Mus musculus: one gene and its partners. The protein of the gene in region 1 interacts with the protein of each later gene in a pairwise test. Links are inferred from orthologs where the notes say so. Each region holds a gene or a part of one and is shown in the gene's direction. Other genes may lie near its edges.

What was found.
Region 2: the proteins of Pde6d (region 1) and Rnd1 interact in a two-hybrid assay, tested with the Homo sapiens proteins (2 studies listed by BioGRID). The link is inferred for Mus musculus from reciprocal best matches to the Homo sapiens genes PDE6D and RND1.
Region 3: the proteins of Pde6d (region 1) and Hras interact in a two-hybrid assay, tested with the Homo sapiens proteins (2 studies listed by BioGRID). The link is inferred for Mus musculus from reciprocal best matches to the Homo sapiens genes PDE6D and HRAS.

Annotation. Positions count from the first base shown.
Region 1 is NC_000067.6:86,579,985-86,584,121, reverse strand, and holds the start of Pde6d (retinal rod rhodopsin-sensitive cGMP 3',5'-cyclic phosphodiesterase subunit delta), read left to right. Parts: upstream 1-1,336; 5' UTR 1,337-1,772; coding exon 1,773-1,822; intron 1,823-4,137. UniProt on the Homo sapiens protein: Promotes the release of prenylated target proteins from cellular membranes. Modulates the activity of prenylated or palmitoylated Ras family members by regulating their subcellular location.
Region 2 is NC_000081.6:98,674,659-98,678,952, reverse strand, and holds the start of Rnd1 (rho-related GTP-binding protein Rho6), read left to right. Parts: upstream 1-1,491; 5' UTR 1,492-1,603; coding exon 1,604-1,723; intron 1,724-2,378; coding exon 2,379-2,466; intron 2,467-4,294. UniProt on the Homo sapiens protein: Lacks intrinsic GTPase activity. Has a low affinity for GDP, and constitutively binds GTP. Controls rearrangements of the actin cytoskeleton. Induces the Rac-dependent neuritic process formation in part by disruption of the cortical actin filaments.
Region 3 is NC_000073.6:141,191,202-141,195,372, reverse strand, and holds the start of Hras (GTPase HRas), read left to right. Parts: upstream 1-1,368; 5' UTR 1,369-1,533; intron 1,534-1,564; exon of another isoform or gene 1,565-1,870; intron 1,871-2,391; 5' UTR 2,392-2,432; coding exon 2,433-2,543; intron 2,544-2,752; coding exon 2,753-2,931; intron 2,932-3,032; exon of another isoform or gene 3,033-3,082; coding exon 3,083-3,242; intron 3,243-3,336; coding exon of another isoform or gene 3,337-3,418; intron 3,419-3,905; coding exon 3,906-4,025; 3' UTR 4,026-4,171. UniProt on the Homo sapiens protein: Involved in the activation of Ras protein signal transduction. Ras proteins bind GDP/GTP and possess intrinsic GTPase activity.

The DNA of each region.
Region 1 (4,137 bases):
CAAAGGGATTTTTGACCCACAGTTTGAGAACCACTGCTTTAAGTTCAAATGTCATTTCCACCATGAAGTTTTGCCAGCTGTTAAAGGCACGTCACCAGAACCTCTAAGGCATTCTCCACTTGATCTTGACTAAAAGGCCAACAAGTAATCCTCTGTGGCATTCTGATATCTTTTCTTTTATGCCACTTGTCAACTCCATCTTGAATCTCCTTATCTCCCTAATCAGTTATGTATCTTCTGAATAACAGTGGCCTATCTTTTACTTAATTCAGTACCCAACCAAAACCAAAAACCAAAACAAGGTTTGTTGAGTTACTTGGAAGAAAAACAAACAAAATGGGTGGGTGATCAAATGGGTGGAGTGGGAACAAGAACAGGAAAGAAGGCCAGAGGAAGGACACAGGCGTCTCCAAGGAAACAGAGGGTTAAACCAACTTTATCTACTTTCTGGGGGAAAAACAATCATTAAATGTCAACTTGAATGTCAAAAAAGCAAATAAAAATAGCAAGACCTATCTAGTCTGAGGATAAAGGACTGTCACACCAGCTCCTTTCAGGAAATCCATGAAATAAATGCTTTCCTATTTTCTGGGTGTTTCAACACTAGTTCAGAAACTGTTCATTAAGGAGAAAAACAATCACATTGCCATGCTTCTAAAAATATTACCTCCCTAGTGTAGTGTAGATACTAGATGACAGGTCAGTAGATGTAAAGCCAGATTTTAACTGTGTCAATTTGCTGTGCTCTCTGGCCAGTCTCTGCCTCACCGGGTCTCTATTTCCTCATATTTAAAAACAAAAGATAAAGAGATTGGATTGGCAAAATCTTTTAAGTCTTCCTGTACTAACATTGAGTATAAACAATCTTTAGCTCACCCAGTCCAAAGCAGAAATATAACATAAACCCTGCAAAACAAGTAAAAATGAACTCCAGACTAATAAACTAACACTATTTGAGGAGGTCATTTTGTTCTGTTATCTCTCGTGGCTTAATATGTGGTTTTGTTGGTGGTTTGCAGTCTTACCATGGTTTGCAGACTCCTGAGTTCCATGTAAACAGAAGTTAACTGTCGGTGGGTTGTCACGTCTCCGGGGTAAAAGAAGACCTTCCTGCTGGGTTTCAAGTAACAGGATTCAGAAACCAACCCCATAGGAGGATTTCAAATATGTGCACACTGCTCGGCACACTGGAACCCAAGTTAAAAAGATGGAGCGCATAGTATGCTGGGACTTGTAGTCCCTGGCCTCTAATGGTGCGCTGGGATCGCCTGTGCTCTCTGGGATGCTGGGAAATGTAGTTTCTGCCACCTTGTACAGTGCAGCCTGCCATAGTCTCAGACCACTAGTGTGCCCGGCAACAAGAGCAGGCATCTCAAACGCCTCTGAAGATTTCAAGCCATCGCTCCTCTGGGACAAACTCTAGGCAACAACACGAAAGAAAATTCTGTCCTCCGGGACTCTCCAAGAGGGCCTTTCCCACTGACGCTCTCCGTCCCCGAGCGAAGCCGCTGAGCGTTGCTATTGGCTACTCAAGATGCCAATCGCCAAGGCTGGCTTGTCATTGGTTTCAAGGCGGGAGCTCCACGACTAGAGGGAAGGAGAAGGGATCAGGAGCGGGAGCTGAGGGGAGGGAGAGGCCGGTTCGGGTCTGGCCGCCACCGCTGTTCACCTGAGGTGTCCGGCCGGGCTGCGGCTGTCCTCGGTTCCTGGGTACCGTCTGCGAGGCCCCGCGGAGCCAGCGTGGGAGGGCCGCGGGCGGCAGGCGCCGCATCATGTCAGCCAAGGACGAGCGGGCCAGGGATATCCTGAGAGGCTTCAAACTGTATCCGCCCGGGAGCAGGGGCGGGGCTGGGAGGAGGCCGTGGCTCTAAGGAGCCAGGCTTTGGCAGGGGCGTCAGGTGGGCACCGGGGAAGAAGGGCTACGAGAAGGGGCAGGAAAGGAACTGTGTGCCGGGCCCCCGGGAGGGACCGCGAACGGGAGGCAGGCACAGGGGCACCCTGAGGGAGAAAGGGGACGTTGATGGAGCCTGGGGGGGGGGGGGGGCGGGGGGGAGGATGGAGGTGGAGGAGCCCCGGGACCTGGCTACTGCGAGAAGAGTTCCCATTTGAAATTAGGGTCCTGAAGGCCGGGAGGCCAGAAGGGGGCTGCAGTCCCCACGCAGAGGCTGAGGGAGTGCAGCAAGCTGGCCTCCTAGCCTGCCTAGGAGCGACTTTGGCGGGAAGCCCAGGGTGGGAGCAGGAGAAAGTGACTCCAAGCAAGTGACCTTGTATGTGGGGGATAATGTACCCCATCCCACCCCACCACACACACATCCGTCTTGTTTTCACAACTTTTCTTCCTCACTTGTGGCTTCTTATAGGGCTGGAGTAGTGGAGAGGTGGGGAAAGAGAAATTAAAGACGGACCCCATCTTAACACTTTGTTGGCCTTTGGAGCATTAACATCTCAAGTTCTCTTTCCAGCGAGATGAGAAATAGGAGGTGTGTGAGATGCATGAGGTACTTTGGTTTTGAACCGACTCCCGGCAAAATTATCTTTGGCATTGCTGAGGTTAACGCTTTATTATGGTGAAGCTGTTCACAATTACTTGATTGTGTTGAGGACACCATATGATATCAGAATTCGTTGTTTCGGTGGACTTGGTGTTGAATGCCTGTGATCCCAGTACTTGGGAGATGGAAGCAGGGGGATCCAGAATTCAGGTCATCCTCAGAGTTTCATAGAGTTCAAGACCAGCCTTAGTTATAGGAGACCCTGCTTCAAAAAGGAAGAAAGTGAGAAGCCAGAGGAGGAAAAGAAACCATTGCTTCAGGCCTGTTGTAGCTACACTGTGACTTTTGCAACCTCTTTATATAGAGAGAGAAAACTTCGAAGCGTTTGTTTTATTTTGGAGACAGGGTCATACAGTGTAGCTCTGGCTGACCCAGAACTTGATGTGTAGACCAGGCTGTCTACCTGTCTCTGCCTCCTGAGTGCTGGAACTGTTAGAACTCAGGGTGTGGCCAGCACCTTCAGCTAGAAGCTGTGTGTTTTGATGGACTATTTGTCACCATAAAATGCAGATGAAATATATTCCAGTTTTACATTCTGTTGACCTTAATCTCTGCTGTACAATATGGAATATTCCTAAGTGCCTCCCTTTGTGGGATGTAACCATCATTTACCCAGCTCCTGCCTCTGGAGGTTTAGGCTTCCCTAAACTGGTTCTCTGAACAACCTGTTGCATTGTCTCAAGACCTGTTTCACATCTTCCAATATCTAATTGCTTGGCTATGGTTAGAAACTAAGGTGAACGTAAATTCTAGAATTCATACAAGGCATGATTAAATCATGGTTATAACCCCAGCACTTGGTGACTGAAGCAAGAGATTGTCATGTGTTCAAGACCAATCTAGGCTGACTCCAAAAAAAGAATGAATCAAAAACAACACCACAAGAACCACGTACCACTGTGTGAACAGTGGTGAACGGATAGACTGGAAGCATAAACGGGGTCATGGGTTTCTGTGGCCCCAAGGGGAAAAACCAACCCAGGAAGTTTTGGGTGCAAAAGGAAAACCCTTCAAGTAAAAACTATACCGAGGTTTTGTGGGGTTTGTTTTTGAGTGTGAGCAAGTAGGGTGCGTTGAGAAGTGAAGAAACAGCTCTCTGCAACTGGCAGGGATTGGAAAGTGAGTCGCCCTGCTGTGCTTTGTAAACACAGAAGGCTGTATCTCCTTACACACTGACATTCAGGATAAACCCTCAGTGGCTTTCCATAGTGAAGTTTAGTAACAGACTCTTCTGTAGTTCCCTGTCTGCTTGGGATAAACGAATATAGCAGGAAACTGTGGATTTTGTCACTTTTACTCTTGACATGAACCTGTTGAGATAAAGGCTAATGGACAAATATAGAAAACACTATAAAGCTAGATGTGGTGGCACACACCTTTAGTCCCAGCACTCAGGAAGCAGAGGCAGATGGATCTCTGTGAGTCTGAGGCCAGCCTGGTCTGCAAATCGAGTTCCAGGACAACCAGGGCACACAGAAAAACCCTGTCTCAAAAACCAAAAAGAAAGAGAGAGTGTGTGTGAATCAGCCACTTAAGTAATGATGTGAGTGCTTCAGGAAACAGGCTTTCAGGGAAAGCTTGACCG
Region 2 (4,294 bases), on another chromosome or scaffold:
CCTGGAAGTAATGGGTGGATGGATGGAGGGGATCCCTGCCCAGCCTGTGAGCCTACAGAGAAGCTGGGAACCATAAGAGTAGACTAGAGGGAGACTGGCTGGACTACATTTCCCAGATAACGTCCATTCTCCGTTATAGTGGGCCTGGCTGTCTTACTAGATCTGTCCATAGGGCCTGTGAAGCCTTTGAAAGGTGCTTATTAATTTCAGGGAAAATGGTCTTGGGTGGGTGGCAATGACTGGCTTATGAGCAAAGCTTGGGGTTGTTCGAGAAGGGACCTCAAGACAACCGTGAGCCAGGGCTGGTGTTCTCTGTCTGAATTTCAGGCCTGAGGCCTGAGGCAAGAAGATGGGCTATATACGGCAAGTTCCAGTGTGATGTTCTCTAAAAAAAATAAAATAAAATAAAATAAAATGAAAGAAAGAAACCAAACCAACAGAACAGGGTAAGGGGAACCCTAGGTTGTTCTCAAGTTTGCCCTAAACTGCCCCTCCCCCAATTCTCTGGAGGCCTCACGGGACTTCCTTGGTGGCCAGTGGCTTATATGAGCTGTGTACTTCCATAGCTCTGTCTAGTAGAGGGGTCTGCAGAAGCCGTGGAGGCTTGCAGGCTAGGGCCAGTCGGCGGCAGTTTGTAGTTTATCTCAGTCTACAATGATTGGTTTTCAATTTCTAATCCCTGAGGCCCAGCCCTGGCATCCAGGCTGGACTCTCACTAGGTGACACTATCAGTGCGTCAGAATCCGTGGCTATCAGCCTGGAACTAGACCTGCCCTGGATTCATCTCGGACACTGAAGCCAGGCCACAGAACAAAACACCTTCACTCTTGCTTGCCAGGCCTGGCATGAGCTGGCTCCTGGCTGGCAGAAAGCAGCTTGTTTGGTCTTTCTCTCTCCTGTTCCTACTTGAAAGACGCCCTCCTTTGTTTTCTTTGCCTATCTCTGGGTCAAGTTATTTTTTGTTTGTCTTGTTTTGTTTTCTTGGTTTGTTTTGGGGAAGGCGATTCCTGAGGAAGGGAGTCGGGCTGTAAAAGAGGGGCAGCAGAGACTTCTATTAGGAGATCCCAGAAGTGGAACCAGTGTGAATAGGAACTATATAAAATTAAGGAGTCACCCTCTCCCCCGAGAGATGCCACCCACCTGTCCATAGTTTAGGCAGGTCCTGCTGTCTTCCTGGGACAGACAGCCTGATTCTATAGCTCTTTGTGGGTCTTGACACTAACTCATAGACACTCAGAGATCACTAAGTTTTACTTCCAGTCCCCTCCTGACCTCCTAACAGCAACACAAAAAGCGTGGGAATCCCCTTCCAAGAGGAAGCCACCGTGCAGCTTTAACAGAAAGGGAAGGGAGGAAGAGGGCGCTGACTCGGAGTCTCCTACTATTGGCTGCAGCAGGGGATCCCACCTTAGGGATTGGCCTGGACAGAGTCCGCCTCCTCTTGTGATTGGATCAGTCTGAGACTTATAGCGGAGCCTTACGAGCCTCCGCCTCAGTCGGAGGCAGGCAGGCAGGGAACCCGCGCTAGTGTGCTAGTGCGGACACTTGAGGCGCGACCTCCTCCTCCCTGAACCCGAGTCCACGTCCCTCCGAGGCTGCAGCCATGAAGGAGAGACGGGCACCGCAGCCAGTGGTGGTCAGGTGTAAGCTCGTCCTGGTGGGAGACGTGCAGTGTGGGAAGACGGCGATGTTACAGGTGCTAGCGAAAGACTGCTATCCCGAGGTGAGCTTCCCTGCCGTCCCGGGGTCGATCCCCCACCTGTCCGGGACAGCGCTCTCCACCACCCGCAGGCCGCCCCACCCTGCCTTGCCTTCTGGCTGGAGGACTGCCCTGTCTTGCTTCCCTAGAGACCTGACCCACTTCTGCCGCCCGGTCGGCTCCTCCTCACCTCTTTACCCATCATATCCCCTCCCACTTGCCTTCATCCCTGAGACCTGGAGGCTCCCGAGAGCTTGGGCTTCATTCTTGACGCAGTACCTGCCTGCCCCTCCTATAAGGCTCTGTGAGGGTGCCCTCCCCAACCCCCCCCCCCCCCCCCGCGCAGGCTTCTGCTGTTTTGCCTGTTCACCTGTGCCAAAGGACTAGAGGGCAGAAGACAGAGGTTAAAACTGGCTTGTGGCTCTGAAAAATGGGACACACATTTAGAGATGTGAGGAAAATGCGAATGTATGTGTCTCAGACTAGCTAGGATGTAGGGGGTTTGTCCCAGGCTGGGGAGCGAAGGCCAATACCTCTACAGTCCCCAATGGCTCCCCCTCCTCTGGCTTCTCGCCATCTGACACTTTGGTGTTTCTCGGCGCATGTGTAGCCAACGCTTGGTGTGGGGTTCTGAGGGCATGCTGCTGCCGGGGTGTGAGTGTTTCCTGTCTCCTCGCAGACCTATGTGCCTACCGTGTTTGAGAATTACACAGCCTGTTTGGAGACAGAGGAACAGAGAGTGGAGCTTAGTCTCTGGGACACCTCAGGTAAGAGTGTACCCCCAAATGCCCCATCCTACCACCATTGGCTAGCCGCAGTTGCTGCTTTTTTAAGGGGGGGGGGGCTGGGAATCCACCTTTGAAGATAGGTGCTTGCCAGGAAAGCGAAGGAAAGAATGTAAAAAATTCTTTGGTTGGGGCTTTGATGATTTTAGAGGATCCTGGAAGGCAGTGAACAAGCCTGGGTGCCACTTGGGTCTCTGGTCTAGTTCACCTCTGGATGGTGAGGTGAAGGGAGCCCTGAGAACTCCCCGGGAGTACCAGACGTCTCCTCTGTCTCTGTCTCTCTCCTCTCCCTTCCTCTCCCTCCTCTCTCCCTCTCTCTCTAGTTCTCCAGAGCAAAGTTAAATGAGGTAGGAGGGTGCTGCTGGAGGCAGCTGTGGCGGGGCAGAGAGCCACCCTCCCGCCCCGCCGGCTTTGGAGGGAATATCACTCTCCTGCATCTCAAGCCGAAGCTGTCTGCTTGCCGCAACTCAGAGGCTGCGGCTTAGAGACGATGATGAAGCGATGCATCATCGATGCTTTTTTTTGGGGGGGGGGCAGTAAATGTAGGGCATGTCCACACTGGGTTAGTGTCCAGTTGAGCACATGGGGGTCTAGTTCTTATCATTTCTCCCTGGGCTGGGGTGAGTTGGAGATGCCCTGTCTATCTTTTGGAAATGTAGAAAGCAATGCTTTCCCTACTCTCCGCTCCCAAGCCCTTTAGAGCTCAGCTTTGCTTCTGAGCCCTTCCCACTTTCTCTACCCCAGCCCCTCTTTTTAACCGTCTGTCTCAGACATCCTTAAAGAGTAAGTGCCAGCCATGTGAGAAAGAAAAGAAAAATCCATGCTTTGCCAAAAAGGATATTTTCTACGTGCTCAGCCCGAGTTTCTGGGGAAGCTGGAGAGCACCAAGGTTCTCCTGCATGTGTGGTAGATGTGCCACCCAGCTTCTGTGAAGGATCCTGTGCTGCTTCTCCAACTGTAAGGTCTGGGAAGACCGGGGATAAGGAATGGGAAAACAGAAAACGATAGATATTTCTTTCGCTCTCCCCACAACCAAAATTCCTCAGGCGGGTCCACGGTCCCCCGTTGCAGTTCCAGGAAAGGGGAGGCAGGGTTTCTGGTTATCCTGGACTGTGCTGTGCTGGCTGGATCGGACCAGAATGCAGCGTGGCTGCGTGATGTATGGGTTTTCTCCTGCTGTATCCTCCCACCTTCCAATCCTCCCTGAACCTTGCTGCGGCTCATCTCTCCTCATTACCACCCTCGATGCCCCCACCCCCACCCCCACAGTCCTTCACTCCCAACCCAGATAAAGGAAAACCAGCCAGGATGGTCTTTTTACCCTAGGTCACACCCCACCCCCTCATTTCAAAAGGCTGGAAGGCAATCAGTTAGCCTTGTTTTAAACTAGGTCCCTGTAAGGACAGAGGAAATGACTGTGTAGGGTGGAGAGCCTCACTACCTTTGGTCTGGGGTTGAACCTGTTTCTGTTATTCACTTGCTGGCCTTAGGGGAGGGGGATTGCTTGGAGCCAAAATGGAGACCCGCTCCTCTCCCCCTCCCCCAGTACCGCAGCACTCCCCTGCCTCAGTGCTGCTGTAGATCAGCCCCCACCTCACCTCAGTAAGAGATGGGGGTGGCTTGCTGAAGGAGCAGGCAGCTATCCAACTCCCCCTTACTTCTTCTTTTTTATGACCGACACCCCCACCTCAGCTTGGATTCCCCCCCAGTTTCCATGGTGATTGCAGTACAGGGAGAGGGGCTGCTTGCTATTCTAAGCACGGATTGTCTGGATTCCAAATCTGCTACTGTTCCTTACCCAGGGTGGAGG
Region 3 (4,171 bases), on another chromosome or scaffold:
CCGTTCCCAGATACATTTCTCTAGTTAGAGTGATCCCCTTCCACTGCACTTCATGACTTATTGCTTACTCTGTCCTGTATGTCTTGTCCCACAGACGTGGGTCGCCCAGGATCCCCCTAGCACAAAGGACATGGAGAGGAGGTGCTAGGCTCTCACCTGAGGGGTGGGCCAGAGTGCCCAAGACTTGGGGCGCAGCACTAGGCCCCTCCACCGCGGCGGTCGCTCTCTCAGGTGAGGGCTTTTTTTTTTAATTATTATTTTTACCACCGCGATGGGGTTGCAGGCCTGGCGCCATGGCAACGGGGGCGGGGCTCATTTGAATACCCAAATATTCGTGAGCCGCGGGCATCCGGGGCTTCGGTAAGATGAGCCCCGCCCCCTAGCAACGGTTGCCGGGACACGCGGCAGATCCGGTGGAAATGCTCCCTAGAGTAAGAGACAAGCCGGACGGCTGAACGCAGTGAAGGCACTCACGGTGGTTCAGAGAGCCGTCCGTGAGAGGCTTCTGGCCAGCTCTCGGTTATCTGCCTGCTAGATGAATAGAACAAGCCGAGCTTGCACCCCGGGCGGCGACCGGGGTGAGCGTGCAACCCCAGGCCTGCACGACCTGAGTAAAAGCCTGAGTTTTTCTGAGGACGTGCTTATTCGTTTCTTTGAAATTTCAAAAAGTGTTGAAAACATGTCATTTGCGTCTGACACAGATGTACCCTACTTGCTTGAGTGGGTGGAACACTTCATTTCGCCCCAATACCAACTTTTCTGACTTTCGGGGTCGTTCTTCAAATGGACGCAGTATGAGCTTCTGCAGTGTTGGGACCTCGAGTTTGAGAGCGGTAGGGGGGTCTTCTCCAAAACACGAAGAGCGCGGTGTGATGGGCCGACGCTGCCCCAGGATGGAGCCTTTGCTCCACCTCGACCTACGAGAACAGGCAGCTAGGGGTTCCGGCGAACTCTGTCTTCCTCTGTTATTCCGCGTCCGCGGTGCTGACTGTCCCCGACACCAATACCCGGTCGGGATGACCTTTCCACTCGTGGGCCTTTGGGCCTTTGGTGAGGCTGCAGGGTGGAGGCTCTGTAGTAGGTCCTCAACGCAACCCGAGCGTGCACCAGTTTCTCTCCGGAGAAATCCCGGGCTCGTAAGCACGGTCTCGGTCTGTCTCTTCTGCACCTAGGCACTAGACATCACTGTTGAGTGCAGGACCCAAGTTCCGGCACTGCCTTCCCCGCGGCTCCAGGAAGCCCCGCCCAGCTTCGGCTTCTGACGGATGGGTTGCTCAGCCAACCACAACAGGTCGCGGTGCGGAGGAGTTCGACCAATCACGGGCCGCCTCGAGTTGACGGACGGGCGTGGGGCGGAGCGGGGCGGGGCGAGCGCGGGCCCGGCCAAGTCCCCGCCGTCCGCTCCCGGCGCCCGCAGCCCGAGCCGCACCCGCCGCGGACGGAGCTCATGCGCGGGCCCAGCCGGCGCCCGTCCGCGCCCCCGCCCTGCCCCGGCCCCGGCCCCGGCCCCGGGGGCAGTCGCGCCAGCAAGCGGTGAGTGCGGGCACGGGGTGGGGCGCGGGGCGCAGGTGATCGGTGCTTCCTTGCTCCTCTCGGCCCGGCAGCGTGCCTAGCGTCCGGCTGCCCGCCTCTGCGGCCGGACTCGCTCTGCCTGTGGCCGTCCTCCCAGCGAGGCGCCGCCCGGGCCTCCGGAGACTCTGCGCCCCGCGGCCATCACGCTCGGGCCTCGGGGCCACAAGGACACCCGCGTTGGGCCCCAACCAGGGCCTTCTGCTCCCAGCCATCCCTCGCGTTCCTGTAGTCACCTGCTTCCCACACCCTCAGCCGTTTTTCCCCCCCTCTGTGAAAGCTCCCTGGCCCCTTGTGGAAGGTTTGTCTTAGTGGAGGGCAGGGTCCTTCTCCAGCCACCCTCCCCCCGCTGCCGGGACCGCGCCTGGCATGCAGTAGGCGCTCAGTAAATAGTTGTAGGTTGCACCCACATGCCGGCGGGCCAGAGCCGGTTGTAGGCTGGCATTGGCCTGCCTGGGCACGCCGAGGCCGCCGTGGCAGGACCTGTTTTTTGGGGGGTGGCCTCAGCCCTCAGGCGCCTCCAGTTGAGGGTTTCTGCCTACCTAGCGACTTCTAATTTGGGTGCGTGGTTGGGAGAAGCTCTCAGCTGTCAGCCCTGCCTTGGGGGCCTCTCCCTGCTTCCTCACACAGCCATTAAGTGCTGTTTGAGGAGGTTGGGGGGTGGGGGTGGGGTCCTCCCTTTTCAAGCTGAAGGTGCCACAGGTGATCAACTGGGCCACTGGCAGGCCTGCCTGCTCAATGCTGGAGAGGGCCCTTGGGTCAGGCATCTATTAGCCGTCTCAAGTGGCAAGGGCCTTGGCTAAGTGTGCTTCTCATTGGCAGGTGGGGCAGGAGCTCCTGGATTGGCAGCCGCTGTAGAAGCTATGACAGAATACAAGCTTGTGGTGGTGGGCGCTGGAGGCGTGGGAAAGAGTGCCCTGACCATCCAGCTGATCCAGAACCACTTTGTGGACGAGTATGATCCCACTATAGAGGTGAGCTCTGCCTACCTGCCAGAGGTGGGCTGTGGCAGTGGTCATGGGTAAATGACCAAACAGCCCAGGTCTTGTAGGTGTTATGGGGTATGATCCATCAGGGTATGAGAGGTGCAAGGGTGTAGGCTGGTTCTGTGGATTCTCTGGTCTGAGGAGAGGTGAGACCCCACCCCCACCCCCCACCCCCACTAAGCCGTGTTGTTTTGCAGGACTCCTACCGGAAACAGGTGGTCATTGATGGGGAGACATGTCTACTGGACATCTTAGACACAGCAGGTCAAGAAGAGTATAGTGCCATGCGGGACCAGTACATGCGCACAGGGGAGGGCTTCCTCTGTGTATTTGCCATCAACAACACCAAGTCCTTCGAGGACATCCATCAGTACAGGTGAGCCACCTATGGCTAGCCCGTGAGCCCGTGGCACACGTGAGGAAGGTTCCGTGTGCACACTGAGGCTTTATGTCTTTTTTTGAATGTCCTGGACACAGTCATGCCTGCAGCCTGCTAGCTGGCTCATATCCACCCCATCCCCCTCCAGGGAGCAGATCAAGCGGGTGAAAGATTCAGATGATGTGCCAATGGTGCTGGTGGGCAACAAGTGTGACCTGGCTGCTCGCACTGTTGAGTCTCGGCAGGCCCAGGACCTTGCTCGCAGCTATGGCATCCCCTACATTGAAACATCAGCCAAGACCCGGCAGGTGAGCCTGTTTCCCTCTCCACAGCTAGTCAAGGATTTACCGCACCCCACCCCAGCCAGGGAGCAGAGCTCATTGCCGCTCTCCCTCAACACAGGGCAGCCGCTCTGGCTCCAGCTCCGGGACCCTCTGGGATCCCCCCTCCCCCGGGACCCATGTGACCCAGCGGCCCTCAAGCTGTAAGTCTCCCAGACCGCAGGGCTGTGAGGGAGGCAAGGGCCAGGGTCTGGGCTTATGCCCTGCAGTTCTGAGTTCACATAGCTCTAGGGCAGGATGGGGTCCCTGGAGAGAGCTGCCCTGAGCCAGGCCGGAGCGGCGACCCAGGGGCCTTAGTTCTTCTTGTCCCCAGTGTCCTGTGGATACTGGCTAGTTTTAAGCCCTTCAGTGTTGTTAGGCTGTTCAACTTGAGACGTACTGGGGGTCTGGGAGAGTCCTGAGTTAAGTGGCTCTGACTTTGAGTGATACTCAGGAGTGAACCCTATTTCAGGAGAGTGGCCTGTGCCTTTTGGATGGCCAGGGCCCAGCTCCCTATTTGTGTTGGTTTTGCAGCTGAGGAAGGGAGCCTCCAGCGTTGGGGTGTGACCTGATCTAGGCAGGGAGTTTCTTACCCAGACAGCACCCCTTTTCTCCCCAGAGTCCTCTCTGATCTAGTCCCTCTGTCCCCAGGGCGTGGAGGATGCCTTCTATACACTAGTCCGTGAGATTCGGCAGCATAAATTGCGGAAACTGAACCCACCCGATGAGAGTGGTCCTGGCTGCATGAGCTGCAAATGTGTGCTGTCCTGACACCAGGTGAGGCAGGGACCAGCGAGACGTCTGGGGCAGTGACCTCAGCTAGCCAGATGAACTTCATATCCACTCTGATGTCCTTGCTCCCCCAATTCTGCCAATCCCCCCCGCCTGCAGTCAGTCATGTCCTTTGTGCCCGTCCC